3 linked regions of the Anolis sagrei genome follow. The protein of the gene in region 1 interacts with the protein of each later gene in a pairwise test. Links are inferred from orthologs where the notes say so. Each region holds a gene or a part of one and is shown in the gene's direction. Other genes may lie near its edges.

What was found. The genes of interacting proteins can lie anywhere in the genome.
Region 2: the proteins of AP1G1 (region 1) and ubiquitin-like protein 7 interact in binary tests that used the Homo sapiens proteins (3 or more experiments, as listed by UniProt). The two-hybrid records come from large-scale screens. The link is inferred for Anolis sagrei from reciprocal best matches to the Homo sapiens genes AP1G1 and UBL7.
Region 3: the proteins of AP1G1 (region 1) and AP1B1 interact in a two-hybrid assay, tested with the Homo sapiens proteins (2 studies listed by BioGRID, with this or other methods). The link is inferred for Anolis sagrei from reciprocal best matches to the Homo sapiens genes AP1G1 and AP1B1.

Annotation. Positions count from the first base shown.
Region 1 is NC_090028.1:29,557,738-29,565,226, forward strand, and holds the start of AP1G1 (AP-1 complex subunit gamma-1), read left to right. Parts: upstream 1-4,366; 5' UTR 4,367-4,462; intron 4,463-7,489. UniProt on the Homo sapiens protein: Subunit of clathrin-associated adaptor protein complex 1 that plays a role in protein sorting in the late-Golgi/trans-Golgi network (TGN) and/or endosomes.
Region 2 is NC_090023.1:274,625,928-274,633,249, forward strand, and holds the start of ubiquitin-like protein 7, read left to right. Parts: upstream 1-4,274; 5' UTR 4,275-4,309; coding exon 4,310-4,373; intron 4,374-6,166; coding exon 6,167-6,412; intron 6,413-7,322.
Region 3 is NC_090034.1:48,666,718-48,674,000, reverse strand, and holds the start of AP1B1 (AP-1 complex subunit beta-1), read left to right. Parts: upstream 1-4,235; 5' UTR 4,236-4,342; intron 4,343-7,283. UniProt on the Homo sapiens protein: Subunit of clathrin-associated adaptor protein complex 1 that plays a role in protein sorting in the late-Golgi/trans-Golgi network (TGN) and/or endosomes.

The DNA of each region.
Region 1 (7,489 bases):
AGACTTGGCTGTTTGGACAACTAGCCCCAATGGTCCACAATCAATGACACAGCACTGCACTTTACTCAGTAGCTACGATTTGCACAATTCATGACCTTGTTATTGTGTTTGCTTGGCCAGGTTTCATGACAGATCTCACCATAGGTTATTGGGTGCTGGTTTTGAGTATAAATTATTGCTTTATTTATATGTTTTTGGTTTTATTCTGTATTGTATTGTTTACTTATTTTATGTAATGTTTTAGGTACATTGTGCCATACGTAAAGTCCCTTTGGGGTGATGGAGGCGGGTACAAAAATAAATTTATTATTATTATTACAACAGTCTCGCTTATCCGATGTTCCGTCTCATTCGACACTCTTATCCAATGCCCCCCCCCTTTCCTCCAGCATTTAACCTTCAATTGAAGGAGCGCTCACCAACTCTCTCCATTCCCAATAAGTGAAAAAAGTAAGACGAGGAGGAGGAGGTCCTCTAAATTTCATGCTCCTCTTCCGAATCCGGGCACTTCCTGCTTAGCCGCTCTATCCCTGAGGCATTGCCTTGCCTTAACCCTTTGAATCACCGTTGTTAGTATTCTAGATGTCTAATGGATGGCTAACAGTAGGAGATTCCATTATTATGCAACATTTTTGTTTATCCAACATTCTTCTGGCCTGTTTATGTCGAATAAGCGAGACTCTACTGTATTGTTGAAGTCTTTCATGGCTGGAATCTCTGGGTTGTTGTAGGTTTTTTGGGCTGTATGGCCATGATCTAGAAGCATTCTCTCCTGACGTTTCACCTGCATCTATGGCAGGTATCCTCAGAGGTTGTGAGGTCTGTTGGAAACTAGGGAAATTGGGGTATTATATCTGTGGAAAGGAACATGAAAGGCACTGCAGACTATTTCAACCAGAGAAGTCAGCTATAGCAGAGCACCTAATGAATCAACCTGGACATAGTATATTATTTGAGAACACAGAAATGCTGAGCACTTTAACAACTACCATGTCAAGTTACACAGAGAAGCCACTGAAATCCACAAGCATGTGATCAATTTCAACAGAAAGGAGGAACCATAAAAATGAACAAAATCTGGCTACCAGTATTTAAAAAATCAGGATAGTAAATAAAGAACAAAAATAAAAAAGAAACAATCAGGGACACTAATTGCCTCTCAACAAAGGATTCCCCCAGGCAGTAAGAAGCCAGACCTTGAAAACCACTAGGCCATTAAATGCTAATCAAGGTAGCCAATTGAAACATTAACACCCACTGCACCACTGGGGGCTCCAACTGAGCAGAAATTGGGAGTCCTGCAGCAAGCAGGGACCAGCGGAAGGCAGAAAAATCCCCCTTGGGAAGGCTGCTGAGTCTGAGACTGCTATCCTTTCAAGGGGTCCTGAGGATTCGCAAAATGCCTGGTGAGCTATTAAAGCCAGTAAGATTTTCCCTTTCCCCAAATAATTCTCACCAGGTTGAAGAAAGGCCACCAAAGTTTATTTCTATTCCAGTTGGAAAGGTTGGGGTTTCAATATCACAGATATAGTAAAGGTAAAGGTTTTCTCTTGACAGTAAGTCCAGGCGTGTCCGACTCTGGGGGTTGGTGGCCATCTCCATTTCTAAGTCGAAAGGCTGGCGTTGTCTGTAGACACCTCCAAGGTCATGTGGCTGGCATGACTGCAAGGAGCACCGTTACCTTCCTGCTGTAGTGGTACCTATTGATCACCTCACATTTGCATGTTTTCAAACTGTTAGGTTGGCAGAAGCTGGGGCTGACAGCAGAAGCTGTCGAATCCCCGGATTCGATCCTGCAACCTTTCGGTCAACAAGCTCAGCGCTTTAACCCACTGTGCCACTGGGAGTTCCTTATCTGTGTCACAGATTTAGAAACACACTTTTCCTAGTTTCCAACAGACCCCTCAACCTCTGAGGATTTTTTTTTATCATGTAAGAAGTGACTTGAGAAACTGCAAGTTGCTTCTGGTGTGAGAGAATTGACCATTTACAAGGACATTGCCCAGGGGACACCTGGATGTTTTGATTTTTTTTACCATCCTTGTGGGAGGCTTCTCGCATGAGGAGCTGGAGCTGATAGAGAGAGCTCATCCACGTTCTCTCTGGATTCGAACCTGCGACCTGTGGTTTAACCCACTGCGCCACCGGGGGCTCCTCTGAGGATGGCTGTCATAGATGCAGGCGAAACGTCAGGAGACCCGCCTACCTGCGTGACCGCATCTCCGCTTACAAACCCACACGCTCACTTCGTTCATCCGGAGAGGCCCTGCTCGCGATCCCACCTGCGTCGCAGGCGCGTTTGGTGGGGTCGAGGGACAAGGCCTTCTCTGTGGTTGCCCCCCGACTTTGGAACACCCTCCCCAAAGACATTAGACTTGCACCCACGTTGGCAGTCTTTAGGAAGAACTTGAAGACCTGGCTATTCCGATGTGCCTTTCCAGAATAGGATAACCTCCAGCACCTTGTCCCAGAAGCACTTTACTAGAGTTTAATACTCTCTGCACATTGCACTTGCCCAGAACTCCAACATACCACCTCTCACATCCAGCACCTTTTTTAACCTGAACCCTTCATTGGCCTGGCCCTGATTTTATTGTATAATAGTGTAATGTTTTGTTGTGTTATTGCTTATGTTTTAATTTGCTTGCATCGTTATTGTCTGTTGTTGTTATGTTGAGGCCTTGGCCTTTGTAAGCCGCATCGAGTCCTTCGGGAGATGCTAGCGGGGTACAAATAAAGTTTAATAATAATAATTAATAAAAATGCTTCTGGAACATGGCCATACAGCCAAAAAACCTAGAACAACCCAGAGACTGGACTGTATTATTATAATAACCAAACAACAAACAATCAATAGCGGAGAAAAGTGGGTATGTGCAGATTTGAGGGCGGAAGAGAACTAGAGTAAAGTTATTAGGTTCTTGTGGGGTTTTTCGGGCTATAGGGCCATGTTCTAGACGTTTCGCCTGCATTTATGGCAAGCATCCTCAGAGGTAGTGAGGTCTGTTGGAATTAGGACAAACGCACCAAACACAGCGCCCAAACACAAATCAAGGAACATGAAAGGCACTGCAGACTACTTCAACCAGAGAAGTCAGCCATAGCAGAGCACCTGATGAACCAGCCTGGACACAGCATATTATTTGAGTACACAGAAATGCTGGACCACACCAACAATCACCATGTCAGACTACACAGAGAAGCCATTGAAATCCACAAGCATGTGATCAATTTCAACAGAAAGGGAGACCATGAAAATGAACAAAATCTGGTTACCAGTATTAAAAAAACTCTAAAATTACAACAGCAAAACAGCAGAGAGGAAACAACCAGGCACATCTTAGCACCTCTCAACAAAAGGTTTTCCCAGGCTCAGCCAGGCCTTCAAATGCTAATGAAGGTGGTCAGCTGAAACATTCACACCTAGCCCTAGCAGAGAAGAGCTCTTTGCCCCACCCCAGCCATTCCACAGATATATAAACCCATTTTCCTATTTCCAGAAAAGTGGGTATGTGCAGATTTGAGGGCGGAACAGGACTAGAGTAAAGTTGTTGTTATTATTATTTGGAAGTAAACGAAAACAAATCCCTCAATTTTCTGGGGTTTTTTCCCCTCCCAGACCTCCCCTCTCCTTCTCCCTCTCTCACCCGCCTTCCTCCTCTTCTTGTCCGCCCCCGGAGCCGCCGCCTCCTCCGTCTCCTTCTCCCCCGCTTGGCTCGGCCCCACCGCGGCCAGGCTCCTCCATCCCGCCGCCTCCTCCTCCTCCTCCTCTTGGGCCTGGGCCCGCCCTCGGCCTCTCCTCGGCGCGCCGGAAGTGCCGCGGGCGTGACGTCGCAAGAGCGCGCGGGGTAGAGAAAGAGAGCATAGCCAGGCCTTTAGTGATGACGCGTCGGTGGTTGCCAAGGCGACGGCGGAGGAAGCCGTCCCCGCCCCAATAGGAGCGATGGCGAGGGAGGGAGGGAGCCGAGGAGGGAACCAAAGAACTCCAGCTCCGCCCCTTGACCTGAGAAGAGGCCCCGAGCCCTTCTCCTTGGGACACAAAGCCGTTCTCGGAGGAACTGACGGGCGGAGGGAGAGAGGGAAGGAGGGAGAGGCGCAGCGGTGACTCGGCAAGCGCGTGACGTCATCAGTGCCTGCCACGCACGGCCTCTCACCCTTCACCCCGGATGCCTCCGCGGAGGGAAATAGTCCCTCGGTAATCTGCTGCTAGAGGACGCCTCGCTTATTAGTCAGGGAAGGGGAGGAAGGGAGGCCGCGGCGGGGCTTCTCCGGAAGGGGAACGAGTAAGGAAAGAAGGAAAGACGGGCCAGAGAGAGGTAGAGAGAGAGCCTGAGTGAGATCCGGCACGGTATCCTTCCGCCTGCGGGAGCGGTGCTGAGGCCGCGCCGCCGCCATTTTGGATGCCAGGCTGCTGGTTCTACCGCCGCTGCCGCCGCCGCCTTTGCCGCCGGGACCCGGCCCGGTGAGTGAGCGAGGGAGCCGGGGAGGGAGCCGGGGCCCGGAGGAGGCAGGAAGGGGAGGACCCGCCAGGAAGGAAGGAAGGGAGGGAGGGGAACACTGGGCCCTGCCCGGCCCTGCCTGGCCGGGTCGGAGTTGGGCCTCACCGTCAGGTCCCTTGCTGCAGGGAACTCTTCTCCCCTCCACTGTCTTCCCTCCCTCGCGCCCTCCTGGCTGAGAAGGCCTTCCTCTTGAAGGCAGAAAGCTGTCAAAGCCAATCCTGGTCATTTTTTATATACAAGCCGTCCCCGGGTTGCAAACACCTGACTTACAAACGTGTCCTAGGTCAAACGAAGCTCAGACAACAGGAAGTGGGAGGAACCCACTCCATTATATTAGTTCTATCTGTCATATAGTAGTCCCAGAGTTGCAAATGACTCCTAGTTCAAAACCTGGCTGAGACAACAGGAAGTAAAAGGAATCTTCCCCTCAGAAGGAAGGGAAATCCACTCCCGGAAGAGTCATCATCAGGGGGAAAGACTGGGTGGCCTTTGGGGGTTCCTTCCAAATTTATGATACTAGTTCTATCTGTCATATGGTAGTCCCAGAGTTGCAAACATCCGACTCACGAATGACTCCTAGTTAAAAACCTGGCCGAGACAACAGGAAGTGAGAGGAATCGGAAGGAAGGGAAATCCACTCCCGGAAGAGTCATTGTCAGGGGGAAAGACTGGGTGGTCTTTGGGGGTCCCTTCCAAATTTAGAATACTAGTTCTATCTGTCATATGGTAGTCCCTGAGTTACAAACATCTGACTTAAATGACTCCTGGTTAAAAATCTGGATGAGACAACAGGAAGTGAGAGGAATCGGAAGGAAGGGAAATCCACTCTCGGAAGAGTAATCATCAGGGGGAAAGACTTTGGGAGTCCCTTCCAAATTTATGATACTAGTTCTATCTGTCATATGGTAGTCCTAGAGTTGCAAACATCCGACTTACAAATGACTCCTAGTTAAAAACCTGGCTGAGACAACAAGAAGTGAGAGGAATCTTCCCCTCGGAAGGAAGGGAAATACACTCCCGGAAGAGTCATCATCAGGGGGAAGACTGGGTGGTCTTTGGGGGTCCCTTCCAAATTTATGATACTAGTTCTATCTGTCATATGGTAATCCCTGAGTTACAAACATCTGACTTAAATGACTCCTGGTTAAAAACCTGGCTGAGACAACAGGAAGTGAGAGGAATCGGAAGGGAAATCCACTCTCGGAAGAGTCATCATCAGGGGGAAAGACTGGGTGGTCTTTGGGGGTCCCTTCCAAATTTATGATACTAGTTCTATCTGTCATATGGTAGTCCCTGAGTTGCAAACATCTGACTTACAAATGACTGCTAGTTAAAAACCTGGCTGAGACAACAAGAAGTGAGAGCAATCTTCCCCTCGGAAGGAAGGGAAATCCACTCCCGGAAGAGTTATTGTCAGGGGGAAAGACTGGGTGGTCTCTGGGGGTCCCTTCCAAATTTATGATACTAGTTCTATCTGTCATATGGTAGTCCCTGAGTTACAAACATCTGACTTACAAATGACTCCTAGTTCAAAACAGGGCTGAGACAACAGGAAGTGAGAGGAATCTTCCCCTCGGAAGGAAGGGAAATCCACTCTCGGAAGAGTCATTGTCAGGGGGAAAGACTGGGTGGCCTTTGGGGGCCCCTTCCAAATTTATGATACTAGTTCTATCTGTCATATGGTAATCCCTGAGTTGCAAACATCCGACTTACAAATAACTCCTAGTTAAAAGCCTGGCTGAGACAACAAGAGCAATCTTCCCCTCGGAAAGAAGGGAAATTTACTCTTGGAAGAGTCAGGGGGAAAGACTGGGTGGCCTTTGGGGGTCCCTTCCAAATTTATGGTACTAGTTCTATCTGTCATATGGTAGTCCCTGAGTTACAAACATCCGACTTACAAATGACTCCTCGTTAAAAACGCGACTGAGACAACAAGATGTGAGAGCAATCTTTCCATTGGAAGAAAGGGAAATCCACTCTCGGAAGAGTCATCATCAGGGGGAAATACTGGGTGGTCTTTGGGGATCCCTTCTAAATTTATGATACTAGTTCTATCATAAATCACACACATGCACCTACAGGTAGTCCCTGAGTTTAAAACATCTGACTTACAAATGACTCCTAGTTAAAAACGAGGCTGAGACAACAGGAAGTGAGAGGAATCTTCCTCTCGGAAGGAAGGAAAATCCTCTCCTGGAAGAGTCATCATCAGGGGGAAAGACTGGGTGGTCTTTGGAGGTCCCTTCCAAATTTATGATACTAGTTCTATCTGTCATATGGTAGTCCCTGAGTTACAAACATCTGGCTTACTAATGACTCCTAGTTAAAAAAACCTGGCTGAGACAACAGGAAGTGAGAGGAATCTTCCTCTCGGAAGGAAGGGAAATCCACTCTCGGAAGATTCATCGTCAGGGGGAAAGACTGGGTGGCCTTTAGGGGTCCCTTCCAAATTTATGATACTAGTTCTATCTGTCATATGTGTGTATCACACACATGCACCTACAGGTAGTCCCTGAGTTTAAAACATCTGACTTACAAATGACTCCTAGTTAAAAACGGGGCTGAGACAACAGGAAGTGAGAGGAATCTTCCTCTCGGAAGGAAGGGAAATCCACTCTCGGAAGAGTCATTGTCAGACTGGATGGCCTTTGGTGTCCCTTCCAAAATTGTGATACTGTATCTATCTCCCATGTATATGTGTGTGTGTCAGGCATGGGTAAACTTTGGCCCTCCAGGTGTTTTGGACTTCAACTCCCACAATTCCTAACAGCCACTGTCAGGAATTGTGGGAGTTGAAGTCCAAAACACCCAGAGAGCCAAAGTTTACCCATGTCTGTACACACACACACATACAGGTAGTCCCTGAGTTACAAACATCCATAACACCTGGAGGGCCGAAGTTTGTCCATTGCTGATATATATGTATATATGCACACACATATACAGGTATTCCCTAAGTTATAAACATCCAATTTACAAACAACTTTTAG
Region 2 (7,322 bases), on another chromosome or scaffold:
TTGTTTTCTGCTTCCTTGGAGATTAGGACGCAATGGAGCAATGGCTTCAAACTCCAAGAGAGGAGATTCCATCTGAACATGAGGAAGAACTTCCTGACTGTAAGGAGATCCGTTCAGCAGTGGAACTCTCTGCCCCGGAGGGAGTGTGGTGGAGGCTCCTTCTTTGGAAGCTTTTAAGCAGAGGCTGGATGGCCATCTGTCAGGGGTGCTTTGAATGCAATATTCCTGCTTCTTGGCAGAATGGGGTTGGACTGGATGATGGCCCAGGAGGTCTCTTCCAACTCTAGGATTCTATGATTCTATGATTCTAATGGGAGTGAAATAATAATAAAAGGAAATAAAGAATCCAACTGAAACATCCAAGAGGGAGAGAGAGGGAGGTGTGTGTGTGTGCCTATTTCCTGACCCTTCCCCTCTTCCTCCCTCCTCTCCTTTATCTCATATTATCTATAATTATTACAAACATATAGATCAGTACCATACTCGAGATGTAGATTGATGGGATTCCCTCCGGCGGGGACACTCTACCTGCTTCCTCCTCCTCCTCCTCCGGGAACTCTCTGTCTCTCCGGAAGGAAGGAAGGAAGGAAGGAAGGAAGGAAGGAAGGAAGGAAGGAAGGAAGGAAGGAAGGAAGCGCGCCGGGCGGATCCCTAGCAAGCGGGCACCTGCCCGGCCCCAAGATGGCGCCCGAAGGAAGGAGGCGGGGCCTCTGCCCGGCTCCAAGATGGCGCCCAAAGGAAGCAGGCGGGGCTCCTGCCCGGCCCCAAGATGGCGCCCGAAGACGGGAGGCGGGTCTTCTGCCCTCCCTCGACTCCGCAATCAGAATGGAATGATGAGAGAATAGAATAATAGAATAATAATATAATGAGGAACAGGAGGAGGGAGCAACCGGGCACATCTTAACACCTCTCAACAGAACATTTTCCCAGGGTCATCCAGGCCTTCAAATGCTAATGAAGGTGGTCAGCTGAAACATTCCCACCTAGCTCCAGCAGGCAAGAGTCCTTTGTCTCACCCTGGTCATCATTCCACAAATATATAAACCCTTTTTCCTAGTTCCAACAGACCTCACTGCCTCTGAGGATGCTTGCCATAGATGCAGGCGAAACGTCAGGAGAGAATGCCTCCAGAACATGGCCCTATAGCCCGAAAAAACCTACAAGAACCTAATCTCTGTATATCTCTATCTTCTGTTGTGCTATTGTTAATGCTTACTGTTTGTTTTTTGTTTATGAGTTTTATTTTATTGTTTTGTATTATTGTTGTTATTGTTTATTGATGTATTGTGGGCTCGGCCTCATGTAAGCCGCACCGAGTCCCTTGGGGAGATGGTAGCGGGGGACAAATAAAGTTTTATAATTATTATGGTTGTTGTTGTTATTATTATTATTATTATTATTATTATTATTCTGTCTGTATCTCTATCTCCTCCCTCTCTATCTTCAATCAGGGCTAATCAATAAAGAAACCCAAAAAGGACAAGGAAGGGTGTCCAGAATGGTGGGAGTTGGAGTCCAACACACCCGGGCAGCCCAGGTTGGCCCTCGCCTGGAATGATGCACCCAGAAAAGCCACAGAGAAAGGATGAGGGCCTTGTTAGGCCACTGCCCCATAATGAACCCTAGCGTGTCTTTCTGCTGGTCATCCTTGGGGCGTTGACCATGGGCCACTTAGAGCAGCGCTTCTCAACCTGAGGGTCGCGAGGGGGGTGTCCGAGGGATCACCAAAGACCATCAGAAAGTGCAGTGTTTTCTGGCGGCCATGGGGGTTCTGTGTGCCAAGTTTGGCCCAATTCTATCCTTAGTGGGGTTCACAATGCTCTGTGATTGTAGGTGAACTATAAATCCCAGCAACTACAACTCCCGAATACCAAGATCTATTTTCCCCAAACTCCACCAGTGTTCACATTTGGGCATATGGAGTATCTGTGAAATGGCAGGGAAACAGGTTTTGAGGAAAGGAGAGATATTTACCAAGAGACATCCTTTCTGGAGATCAGAAAAGGTACGGCTTTATTTCCAGCTGGCGACTCTGGTGGGACTCGTGTCCCAAAAGCAAAACCCAGAGCCCCCGATCAAGGTGCGGACTGGCCTTTTATAGTCTCCAATCGGAATGAAACAAAGAACATACGTCTTCATACAATCATCATCATCCCTACGTCATCCTGGCATCATAAGAATATCAGGTTCCAACCTCCAACATGCAAAAAGCATGTCTCTGTGTCTTGCTGAAACCAAAGCAAGCATGGAGTGTCCCTCCTCCCTCTTGGCTGTGCTTACAGTCATCCATCAAGAGGCCACTTGGACCTGTCAGAGGTGCTTCTTAGTACCAGTCCATGGCTCCCATTAGGGCTTATCTCTCTCTCCTGGAATGTTTAGATAGCATTGCTGTGCCTGGACACAGCTTGGTTTCCTTACACAGGAGAGAGAGCCTGAATATTCTATGCATTTCAGTGCTTATAAAGTACATATGATTTTTATGCATAAACCAATAAATATATATTTCCAATATCTCCTCATCATCTCTGCCAAATTTGGTCCAGATCCGTCATGGCTTGAGTCCACTGTGCTCTCTGGATGTAGGTGAACTACAACTCCCAAAGTCAAGATCCATGCCTACCAACCCCTTCTAGTGTTTTCTGTTGTTCATGGGAGTTCTGTGTGCCAGGTTTGCTTCCATTCTATCACTGATGGAGTTGAGAATGCTCTTTGATTGTAGTTGAACTATAAATCCCAGCAACCACAACTCCCAAATAATAATAATAATAATAATAATAATAATAAACTTTATTTATACCCCGCCACCACCTCCCCGATGGGGACTCGGAGCAGCTTACATGAGGCCAGGCCCGAACAACAATTACAATGAAGAAAACCAAGACGCAACCAAAAACGCAAACAGTAAACAATAACATCATACCAAACGTTTGGACCACCAAATGCAGCGTTGCCCAAACACGAATCAAGGAACATGAAAGGCACTGTGGACTATTTCAGCCAGAGAAGTCAGCCATAGCAGAGCATAGCAGAGCACCTGAGGAACCAGCCTGGACACAGCATATTATTTGAGAACTCAGACATGCTGCAACAACCACCAGGTCAGACTACACAGAGAAGCCATTGAAATCCACAGGAAGCATTTGGGGAATTTCAACAGAAAGGAGGAAACCATGAAAATGAACACAATCTGGCTACCAGTACTAAAAAACTCTAAAATTAAAACAGCAAAACAACAGAGAGGAAACAATCAGGCACATCTTAACACCTCTCAACAAAAGATTCCCCCAGGCTCAGCCAGGCCATCCACTGCTAACCGAGGTGGTCAGTTGAAACATTCCCACCTAGCTCCAGCAGACAAGAGTCCTTTGTCCCACTCTGGTCATTATTCCAAAGATATATAAACCCAATTTTTCCTACTTCCAACAGACGTCACAACCTCTGAGGATGCTTGCCATACATGCAGGCGAAATGTCAGGAGAGAATGGCCAGATGGCCCGAAAAAACCTACAACAACCCAGTAAATAAATACGAGTTTTGGATAAATATATAAAATATACACTTATATCAAATATATAACACACATATTATATATATATTATATATATATATTATATAATATATATTATATAATATAATTATATTAAAATTATGTTGCTGTTGCTGTTCATTCGTTCAGTCGTCTCCGACTCTTCGTGACCTCATTAAAATTATATTATAATTATATTATATTATATTATATACTTTATATAATATATAATATATATAATAAAATAATTATCACAGAATTAATTCTGTATGGCAAGCAACCTCAGAGGTTGTGAGGTCTGTTGGAAGTAGGAAAATGGATTTATATATCTTTGGAATAATGACCAGGGTGAGACAAAGGACTCTTCTCTGCTGAAGCTAGGTGGGAATGTTTCAACTGACCACCTCCGTTAGCAGTGGATGGCCTGGCAGTGCCTGGGGGAATCTTTTGTTGAGAGGTGATTAGATGTGCCTGATTTTTTGTATTCATTTCGGGAGGGAGTTCAAAGCGCCTTCCTTCCAAGAGGGGGCGCTTCCCATTCAAACCAGCCCCGGGCCTTCGCCGCGCGCGCCCATTGGCCGCCTCCTTTCCCCAGCCCTTCCTTGATTGGCGGAGGCGCAGGGAGCGCTCTGACGTCAGAATAGGAGTCCTTCGCGCCTGCGCGGGGCTGGGGAAAGAACTGCAACTCCCAGCATGCCCCGCTCGGGGCGAGGGGAAGTGACGCCAGCTGCCTAGCCGCGATGCGCGCGCCCCTTCCTCCGCTTCAGAACTACGGCGCCCGGCATGCCTCGCGCGGGCTCAGGGAAGCGCTTCCGGCTGGACCAGGGCCTCGGTGGTAAACAACCAGGTAAGGGGAGGAAAGGGAGGAAAGGGGGGCAGGCGCGGCTCGGCAAGCATCCTCAGAGGTAGCAAGGTCTGCTGGAACTAGAAAAATTGGGTTTATATATCTGTGGAAAGACCAGGGTGGGAGAAAGGACTCTTGTCTGCTGGAGCCAGGTGTGAATGTTTCAGCTGACCACCTTGATTAGCATACAATGGGCTGACTGTGCCTGGAGCAAACTCTTCTTGAAAGGGTCTGTTGGAAGTAGGAAAATTGGGTTTATATATCTTTGGAATGATGACCAGGGTGGGGCAAAGGACTCTTGTCTGCTGGAGATAGGACAATGGGTTTGTATATCTGTGGAATGATGACCAGGGTGGGGCAAAGGACTCTTCTCTGCTGAAGCTAGGGGTGAATGTTTCAGCTGACTACCTTATTTATTTACTTTACTTTACTTTACTTTGCTTATATACCGCTGTTCTCAGCCCGAGAGCGACTCACAGCGGTGTACAACATAGAAGGACAAGGTTCAAAATTCAACACAATCAAAAATATCAGTCTAGCAATAATCAAAAACATCATCAACAAAAACACAACAATATCAAAATACAAAAAGCCATTCGCATCGTCTCATCATCTAAACCACAATCCAGTCTCATTTTCCGTTGTTCCATTCCTGTCGTCATTACCAATCATTGCACTTCTTGTTCAAACGCCCTCCTGAACAGCCAAGTCTTCAATTTCCTGCGGAATACCATCAGGGAAGGAGCCAGTCTGATGTCCACGGGAAGGGCGTTCCACAGCCGAGGAGCCACCACCGAGAAGGCCCTGTCTCTCGTCCCCTCCAGGCGTGCCTGTGTTGCAGGCGGGATCGCGAGCAGGGCCTCCCCGGAAGATCTCAAAGTCCTGGTGGGCTCGTAGGCCGAGATGCGGTCAGATAGGAATCTTGGGCTGGAACTGTTTAGGGCTTTATAGGCCAACGCCAGCACCTTGAATTGAGCCCGGTAGCAAATCGGCAGCCAGTGGAGCTGGTACAACAAGGGCATTGTATGCTCCCTGCGTCCTGCTCCTGTTAGTATCATGGCTGCCGCACGTTGGACCAATTGAAGCTTCCGGCCCGTCTTCAAGGGCAACCCCACGTAGAGAGCGTTGCAGTAGTCTAAACGGGATGTAACCAGAGCGTGGACTACCGTGGCCAAGTCAGACTTCCCGAGGTACGGGAAGTTGTTCATTAGCATTTGAAGGCCTGGCTGAGCCTGGGAAATTCTCTTGCTGAGAGGTGTTAAGATGTGCCTGGTTGTTTCCTCTCTGCTGTTTTGCTGTTGCAATTTTAGAGTTGTTTAATACTGGTAGCCAGATTTTGTTCATTTTCATGGTTTCTTCCTTTCTGTTGAAATTGTCCACATGCTTCTTGTGGATTTCAATGGCTTTACTGAATAGTCTGACATGGTGGTTGTTGGAGTGGTCCAGCATTCACACCTAGCTTTAGCAGAGAAGAGCTCTTTGCCCCACCCCAGCCATTCCACAGATATATAAACCCCTTTTCCTATTTCCAACAGACCTCACTACCTCTGAGGATGCTTGCCATAGATGCAGGCGAAACGTCAGGAGAGAATGCCTCTAGACAGCCCGAAATAACTACAGCAACCCAGTGATTCCGGCCATGAAAGCCTTCGACAATACAGCCTACTGGCTGTTAGGAATTGTGGGAGTTGAAGTCCAAAACACCTGGAGGGAGGGCCGAAGTCTTCCCATGCCTGCTTGAGATCAATGGTGTGGCTGCTTGCGTGACTCTGACGCCCGTGGTGTTCTCTTTCCAGGTTCCGCTTGGAGCCCAGACTGGAGATTTGCGCAGCCGAGCCCCCCCGAGGAGGCCGAGGCCATGTCCCTCTCCGAGTGCTACATTGCGGTCAAGCTGGCCGACCAGCCCTTGGCTCCCAAATCCATCCTGAGGTTGCCGGAGACGGAGCTGGGGGAGTGTCCCCTGGGCGGCTGCAGCATCTCCTACCTCAAGCAGCTCATCACCGGGAAACTACAAGAGTCTGTTCCTGACCCAGAGCTCATCGGTAAGCGGCTAGGCTCACTTGATGCCCCATTGAAGTATGTTTTACGCAGGCTGGCCCCACATAACTGGGACTTGGTGTGGTTAGCAAAAACATCTTTAAAGATGCAAACATTATGCAATAACATAACGAGGCTGCTGTTGATCAATGTCAGACAATTAATCTTACACTATGTCACAAAATTTGGGGGAAAAAAATCTGTTCCTGGTTTGAAAGTATTATTTCCTGCTTAATTGTGTGGTACGTACTTTGAAAGTAGTCGTTATCTTCCAAAATCTTTGTGGCTGCCATTAAAAAAATTCTGTCACGTAGTTTATTAATCAGTACATGAGTTGGTATTGCAATTTGATTTTTGGGCTTGGCCTCTTGTAAGCTGCTCCGAGTCCCTGTTGTTGGGGAGATGGTGGGTATAAATAAAGGTTATTATTATTATTATTATTACTATTATTATTATTATTATTATTATTATTATTATTATTACTATTAATAATATTATTATTGCTCATGCCATGGTCTTCCTCAGTTTTGCTACAGTTCTGAATCATAATGTAAATCTCTGACATGCAGGACGTTTTTTCATTCACTGGAGCAAATTTGGCACAAATAGCCGATACGCCCAAATTTCAATACTAGTGGGATTTGGGGGGGGGGGGGGGGAGGGGGATTGATTTTGTCATTTGGGAGTTGCTGGGATTTATAGTTCACCTACAATCAAAGAGCATTCTCAACTCCACCAACGATGGAATTGAACCAAAGTTGGTACACGGAACTCCCATGACCAACAGAAAACATTGGAAAGCTTTGGTGGGCATTGACCTTGAGTTTGGGAGTTGTAGTTCATCCACATCCAGAGAGCACTGTGGAATCAAACAAAGAAGGATCTGGATCAAACTTGGCACGGATTCTCAATATG
Region 3 (7,283 bases), on another chromosome or scaffold:
CGAAAACACGCAAATGTGAGTAGATCAATAGATACTGCTCCATGCAGTCATGCTGACCACATGACCTTGGAGGTGTTGATGGACAACTCTGGCTCTTCGGCTTAGAAATGGAGATGAGCACCAGAGTTCCAGAGCTGGACACGGCTGGACTTAATGTCAGAGGAAAACCTTTACCTTTACCCTACACACATATATAGACACACAAAACACGTATACACAGACTGGGCCACAGCAATGTGTGATAGGGGACAGCTAGTATAGAATAAAAACAATATTTTTAAAATTATAATTATTATGTATATAGAATGAAAAATAAGAATAAAATAAAATATAAAATAAAAGGAAATAAAAATAGCTTATTGCAGGAGACATAAGCTCTATCTAAAGAATAATATTATATGTATTATTTATATAGAATGAAAAATAAGAATGAAATAAATATAAAATAAAGCATATAATATTTATTCTTTAATAAGAATAAAATCAAAAGTAATAACAAAATAAAAATGGTGACAATATAATGATGTGAGGTTGCGTTGCAGTGGCAATATACATATACATACACTGCCTCCATGCTTTCTCCCCATATTTCCCAGTTATCAATCATTCTTGTTGCCATAATCTTTTTTTTTATGTTTAACTGCAACCCAGCTTTTGCGCTTTCACCTTGATTAGAAGGCTCCTCAGCTCCTCCTCGCTTTCGACCATCAAAGTGGTATCATCTGCATATCTAAGGTTGTTAATGTTTCTTCCAGCAATTTTTACCCCAGCCTTGCATTCATCAAGCAGCGCACATCGCATGGTGTGTTCTGCATACAAGTTGAATAGGTTGGGTGAGAGTATACAACCCTGCCGTACGCCTTTCCCAATCTTGAACCAGTCAGTTGTTCCATGGTCAGTTCTTACTGTTGCTACTTGGTCCTTATACAGATTCCTCAGGAGAGAGACAAGGTGACTTGGTATGCCCAGACCACCAAGAACTTGCCACAATTTATTATGATCCACACAGTCAAAGCCTTTAGAATAGTCAATAAAACAGAAATAGATGTTTTTCTGAAATTCCCTCCCTTTCTCCATTATCCAACGGATATTGGCAATTTGGTCTCTCGTTCCTCTGCCTTTTCTAAGCCCAGCTTGTACAACTGGCAACTCTCGCTCCATGTCTTGCTGGAGTCTTCCTTGCAGGATCTTGAGCATTATCTTACTGGCATGAGAAATAAGGGCCACTGTATGAAAGTTTGAGCAGTCTTTAGCATTTCCCTTTTTTGATATGAGGATATAAGTTGATTTTTTCAGTCTGATGGCCATTCTTGTGTTTTCCATATTTGCTGGCATATGGCATGCATCACCTTGACAGCATCATCTTTCAAGATTTTAATCAGTTTAGATGGGATCCTGTCATCTCCTGCTGTCTTGTTTATTTATTTATTTATTTGCTTTATTTCTATACCGCATTTTTCAGCCCTTAACAGGCGACTCAATGCGGTTTACATGGTACAATTATCAAACAGTGTCAGTGCAATTAAAACATTGTTGTTAGCAATGCTTCTTAAGGCCCATTCAACGTCACTCCTCAGGATGTATGGTTCTAATTCACTCACCATGAGTGAGCTGATCTGACCAGCTGCAGGGAGTTCCACAGTTCCTGGATGCCCCGTTGGGCCAGCACTGATGAAATGTGCCTCAGCAGCAGCCTCAACCAAGGACTCTGCAACCTTGAGCTCTCTCCTTTTGCTTCTCTCCCCCGCCCTAACATTGTAACGAAACCCCTAATAAAGACTAACTGAATTGTAACCTTCACCTCTTCATAGTGATACATTGTGTCCTTTTCTTGGCTCACCAGTATGCAATGCATGAATTTACCCTTTTCCAGGCTGCGGGCAGCCGCTGGCCTGCCCAGGATGCCTCCTAGGCGTCCCGGGGAGGCTGAATCTGCGTTTCTTCAAACCGCAGATACGGAAACCCCTCGGGACCCTGTATCCGCGAGTTGACAAAACAACTCCATTTTGGTGCCATATTTTTCCTAGCTGAATTCTAACACTATCTGCTATCTCGCTTTTTGCATCTCGGGCCCCTGCTCTCGGGGAATAACCTTTTTTTATTTTTGAGAATATATTTTAAAAGAAAAACAGCTGATTGTCAATCCAAGCTTTCTTGCTGCTGCATTGCTCCCGCCATTGCTGTTTCTTCGTCCTTCTGGAGCCCCAGGACCCGGGGACTTGATGCGGTCGCCCCATGAGGCCATCGGGGAGTGGGTCTGTCACCTGGCTCCAGCCCTTGGAAGGAGTTATAGTTCTCCAAGGACGAGCTTCAGCCTCAACGAGGCAGAGCTCCATATCTTGGCTCAGTGGAATCACCAAGCCTCTCCTTATGATTCTTGAACCTTTTTTGCCCCACATCAAGACTTTTCTCCCTTTAAGGACATACTTTCATCTATGGATTTTCCTATAATGGACTATGGACATATATTGAGCCATGATCAAGGCTCTTATCAATTTCCCAATGGGATGCAGGGGGGAGGGATAGGTGGGTGTATTTTCTGTAACGACTTGGCTTTATATAATTATATGATAGTACTTTAATGTGTTTATATTAGTGTATTATTGATGTGATGTTTTTAAACTATTGTGTATGAACCCCCTTGTTGTAAACCAGCCTGAGTCCCTCGTTGGAGGTGAGAAGACTGGTATATAAAAGTTCTAAATAAATAAATAAATAAAATTATGATTTCTATATTTCTATATTTTCCCCAATGTATCTGACCTTTTCCTGACCCTTTTGCCCAATTCCCCTTTATTGAAAAATGTATAAAAATGCAAGGCAGCCACCCCTCTGTGATCCAGGATGGAAGGAAAATCACCAGTTGAAAAGACCCTTATCAGAAGACTCAATTGCATGGACAATAGAAGAGGGTCATGACCTCTGGGCTCAGAGTTAGTCCCCCAGAGGAAATGGTCCATTGGCAATTTTGATCATATCTCATTAGGACGGAGGAGGCCTTCGGAAAGCCGCACACCGTCCTAATCTGTCATCCATTCAACTTTTCTCTCACTGAAACTTCCACCAAAGTTCCCCCATTGTTCCTATGTCTCAGCCCTGGGAAAATCCAGATTATGGCAGGATCACCAAACATTAATGTTTATTGCAACCACTCAGTGACAATAGCCAGACTGGCTTGCAGGCCCTTAGGACTCGCTGGTCACTTGGACATTTCCTAATCTTCATAATCCACCCAAGAATGCATTGTTTCCCCTTGTCCCGCCTCCCTCTCTCCTGATTCATCGAGGCGCCGAGGCGGCAGAAGCTCAGTGATTGGCCCAGGCGCTCGGTAGGCGGCTGAGCCTCCTCCCAGCTGTAGAGGCGCCAGCCAATCACCATCAAGCCGGGCGGAGAGTGGGAAATTCAAACTTGGCAACTCTGTTACTGTATAAAAAAGGCTTTTATTTGTGTACATGTTATGCTTAGCTTGGTGAAATATTGCTGATTTGCATCCTTTCCAGCTGGATCGCAATAAAATCATCTCGGTGGCGCCTCCTTCAACTTTGTTGAGATTCTTTTTGGGAACTTAGGGGAAAATGTTTTAAATTGCGGCTTCTCTTGCTCACCACTGTAGCGAGCCCTTCTTGGTGGGTCCGCAGGGTTTCTCCTTCAGGGCCAGACCCTTCTAAATTCCTGCTCGATTTCAACCACACTGTCAAAACTATCCTCGATATTATTACCCTTCCTATACAGATCTTCTGTATAGTCCCGCCACCTTCTCTTGATCTCTTCAGCTTCTGTTAGGTCCCTGCCATCTTTGTTTCTTATCATGCCCATTTTTGCCTGAAATTTACCTCCAATGTTTCTAATTTTCTGGAAGAGGTCTCTTGTCCTTCCTATTCTGTTGTCTTCTTCCACTTCCATGCATTGCTTGTTTAAAAAATAGTTCCTTATCTCTTCTGGCTAACTTCTGCAATTGTGCATTTAATTGGGCATATCTCCCCTATCACTGTTTTCTTAAAATTAAATATTGTCCGTAAATAAACCAAGTGAAGGGCCTTTTGAAGGAGTAGGCCCAATGCTGTTGCCAGGGGCAACGGTCGCCCCAGGCAACTGCTCAGCGGGGGCTCGCTCACGTTCTTCCGCAGCCCTGTCCCGGCCCCTTTACGCATGCGTGGCGTTCTCCCCTAAGGTCTTTCCCCCCTCTGCGCACGCTCGCCACGCTTATCATCCGTGTGCGCATGCTCGCGTCGCACGGGTCCGTGTGCGCATGCTCGCTTCATTTCCGCCCGGGCTGCAGCTGAGAGAGGACGCTTCGGCCTGAGCTGCAGAGACGCGGAAGGAGAAGCCGAAGCTGAAGGCGGTAAGAAGCGCCCTTTAATGGGAATGTCAAACTGTAATCCATGGGCATATTTATTATTGTCTGAGTGAGATTAAAATAAATGAGATTGTTATATTATTGTGATGATGTTAATCCTTTCGCCTCCGTTTTGCCTTGAAATAAATGCGATATTATTATTATTATTATTATTATTATTATTATGTTTAATGCTTTAGCCTCCAGTTTGCCGTAAAATAAATGAGGTAATAATAATAGTTTTAGCCTTTGATTTGTCTTGAAATAAATGACATTATTATTATTATTGTTATTTTTAATGCTTTAGCCTCTAGTTTCCCTTAAAATAAATGAGATAATAATAATAGTTTTAGCCTTTGGTTTGTCTTGAAATAAATGACATTATTATTATTATTATTATTATTATTATTATGTTTAATGCTTTAGCCTCCAGTTTTCCTTAAAATAAATGAGATAATAATAATAGTTTTAACCTTTGGTTTTGTCTTGAAATAAATGACATTATTATTATTATTATTATTATTATTATTATGTTTAATGCTTTAGCCTCCAGTTTGCCGTAAAATAAATGAGGTAATAATAATAGTTTTAGCCTTTGATTTGTCTTGAAATAAATGACATTATTATTATTACTATGTTTAATGCTTTAGCCTCAAGTTTGCCTTAAAATAAATTAGATAATAATAATAGTTTTAGCCTTTGGTTTGTCTTGAAATAAATGACATTATTATTATTATTATTATTATTATTATTATTATTATGTTTAATGTTTTAGCCTCCAGTTTGCCTTAAAATAAATTAGATAATAATAATAATAGTTTTAGCCTTTGGTTTGTCTTGAAATAAATGACATTATTGTTATTATTATTATTATATTGAATGCTTTAGCCTCCAGTTTGCCTTGAAATTAGTGAGATTATTATTATTATTATTATTGCTATTTTAGCCTCCAGTTTGCCTTGAAATAAGTGAGATTATTATTATTGTTATATTATTATTGTTATGTTTAATGCTTTAGTCTCCAGTTGTCTTGAAATAAATGAGGTTCTTATTCTATGATGATGATTATTATTATATTTATTGTTTTAGCCTCTAGTTTACCTTGAAATCAATGAGAGTATTATTGTTGTTTTAGCCTACAGTTTACCTTGAAATTATATTATTGTTCTTACTTTCCAATTTTTAATTCATATTACTGTTATTCAGATTATTGTTATATTCAGAAATTATTATTGCCATTTTTTCATTTTTATTACTATTATTTTTATACCCTGCTTTTTCTCTCCATTGAAGAGGCTCAAAGCACAAGATTATTATTGTTGTTGTTATTGGAAGGGAAAACATTAAGCAAATATAACAATATTACTTTCAGATATGGGAAAATAAGAAAAAGAATCTAGTTTCAAGGTGAACTAGAGGGTGAACCATTAAACAAATATAATAATATAGTAATATTTGGAGAGAAAAGTAGGGTATAAATAATAATCATAATAATATTAATGATAATAATGTGTTTTCATCTGTTTTAACACAAACCTCAAGGATTGGCACAGTACATTTTAAAAATTACGATATTGTATGTTATTATGGTGTATTATTCTTATTCTATATTATTATGATAGGCCATTATTACAATTTATAGTGCATTGCATTATTGTATTTTATTTTCTTATAATATATTATTATATTAGAAAATATATTATTTATTTATTTATGATGATTATCGATATTATATATTATTATATAATATGGCTCTGTGACTACCAATATTATGATTATTATAGTATTACAGTATATATGATATATTATCATTACGATTTATATAGTGATCTGCAATATGATCTGACAAGACTCCACATTAATGTATATATTATTTAAAATGCATATGAATGTTTATTGATTGTTTTATATGTTTATATATTTGTTTTAATTGCCATTGTTTTGTACTGTAATATGTAGGAAGCTTTGGATCCCTTTGTGGGAGAAAAGCAGGACATAAATAAAAATGTATTATTATTATTATTATTATTATTATCATCATTGTACATTATATTATTTTTATTATTTTATCTTATTTATTATTATATTTTTGATATGATATTATTATATGATATTCTATGAATACCATTATCATTATTATTATTTAATTCATTAATTAATAAGGGATTGTGCAGAATGGGACTTCTTCTAAGCACAATTGGACTGTTCCATGGGAAATTTGGTTAAACCGAATTAAAGAAACATGAAAACAGCAGGAAAAAGGAAAAGGACGCTGGATATTATTATTATTGTTATTATTATTATTATTATTATTATTATTATTATTTCCCATGGACTAAAATTAATATTGTAATAAAATATTATTAATAGAATATTAATAATAATATTTCTTCTCCTTCTCTTCAGCCTTCTCGATCCACTGTACCTCGGGATTAAAGAATACTGCTAATATTTTCTATAAGGCCCATCCATGTTGCCCTGTGTCTCCTGTTCGTGACTGGGGATCAGGCCAACTTTCCCCATTAATCATTCATTCAGAGTCCCCTTTCGGTCTTTTATCAGGAGGAAGGGACACAGAGAACAGGAATGGACAAAGAAGGCTGTTTTTTGTGTGAACCATTTGTTCAAACACAGATAAACAGAAGGGAGGAAATAGGCATGAACCCACCACTTCCCTTCTCTTCTGCTTACGTTGCATTTCTTTTGTAAACTCTTTGGGGCAGAGAACTGGATTTTGTTGTGCATTGTCTCACTCTAGAGATATAGGCACTGTTATTATTGTTATTGTTATTATTTTGGCTTAGAAGGATCAGTTTCTATATTGTTATTGTTATTATTATTATTATTATTATTATTATTATGGCTTTGGATCCATTCCTATATTATATTTATGATGATGATGATGATTATTGTTCAGAAGGATGCATTCTATTATTATTATTATTAT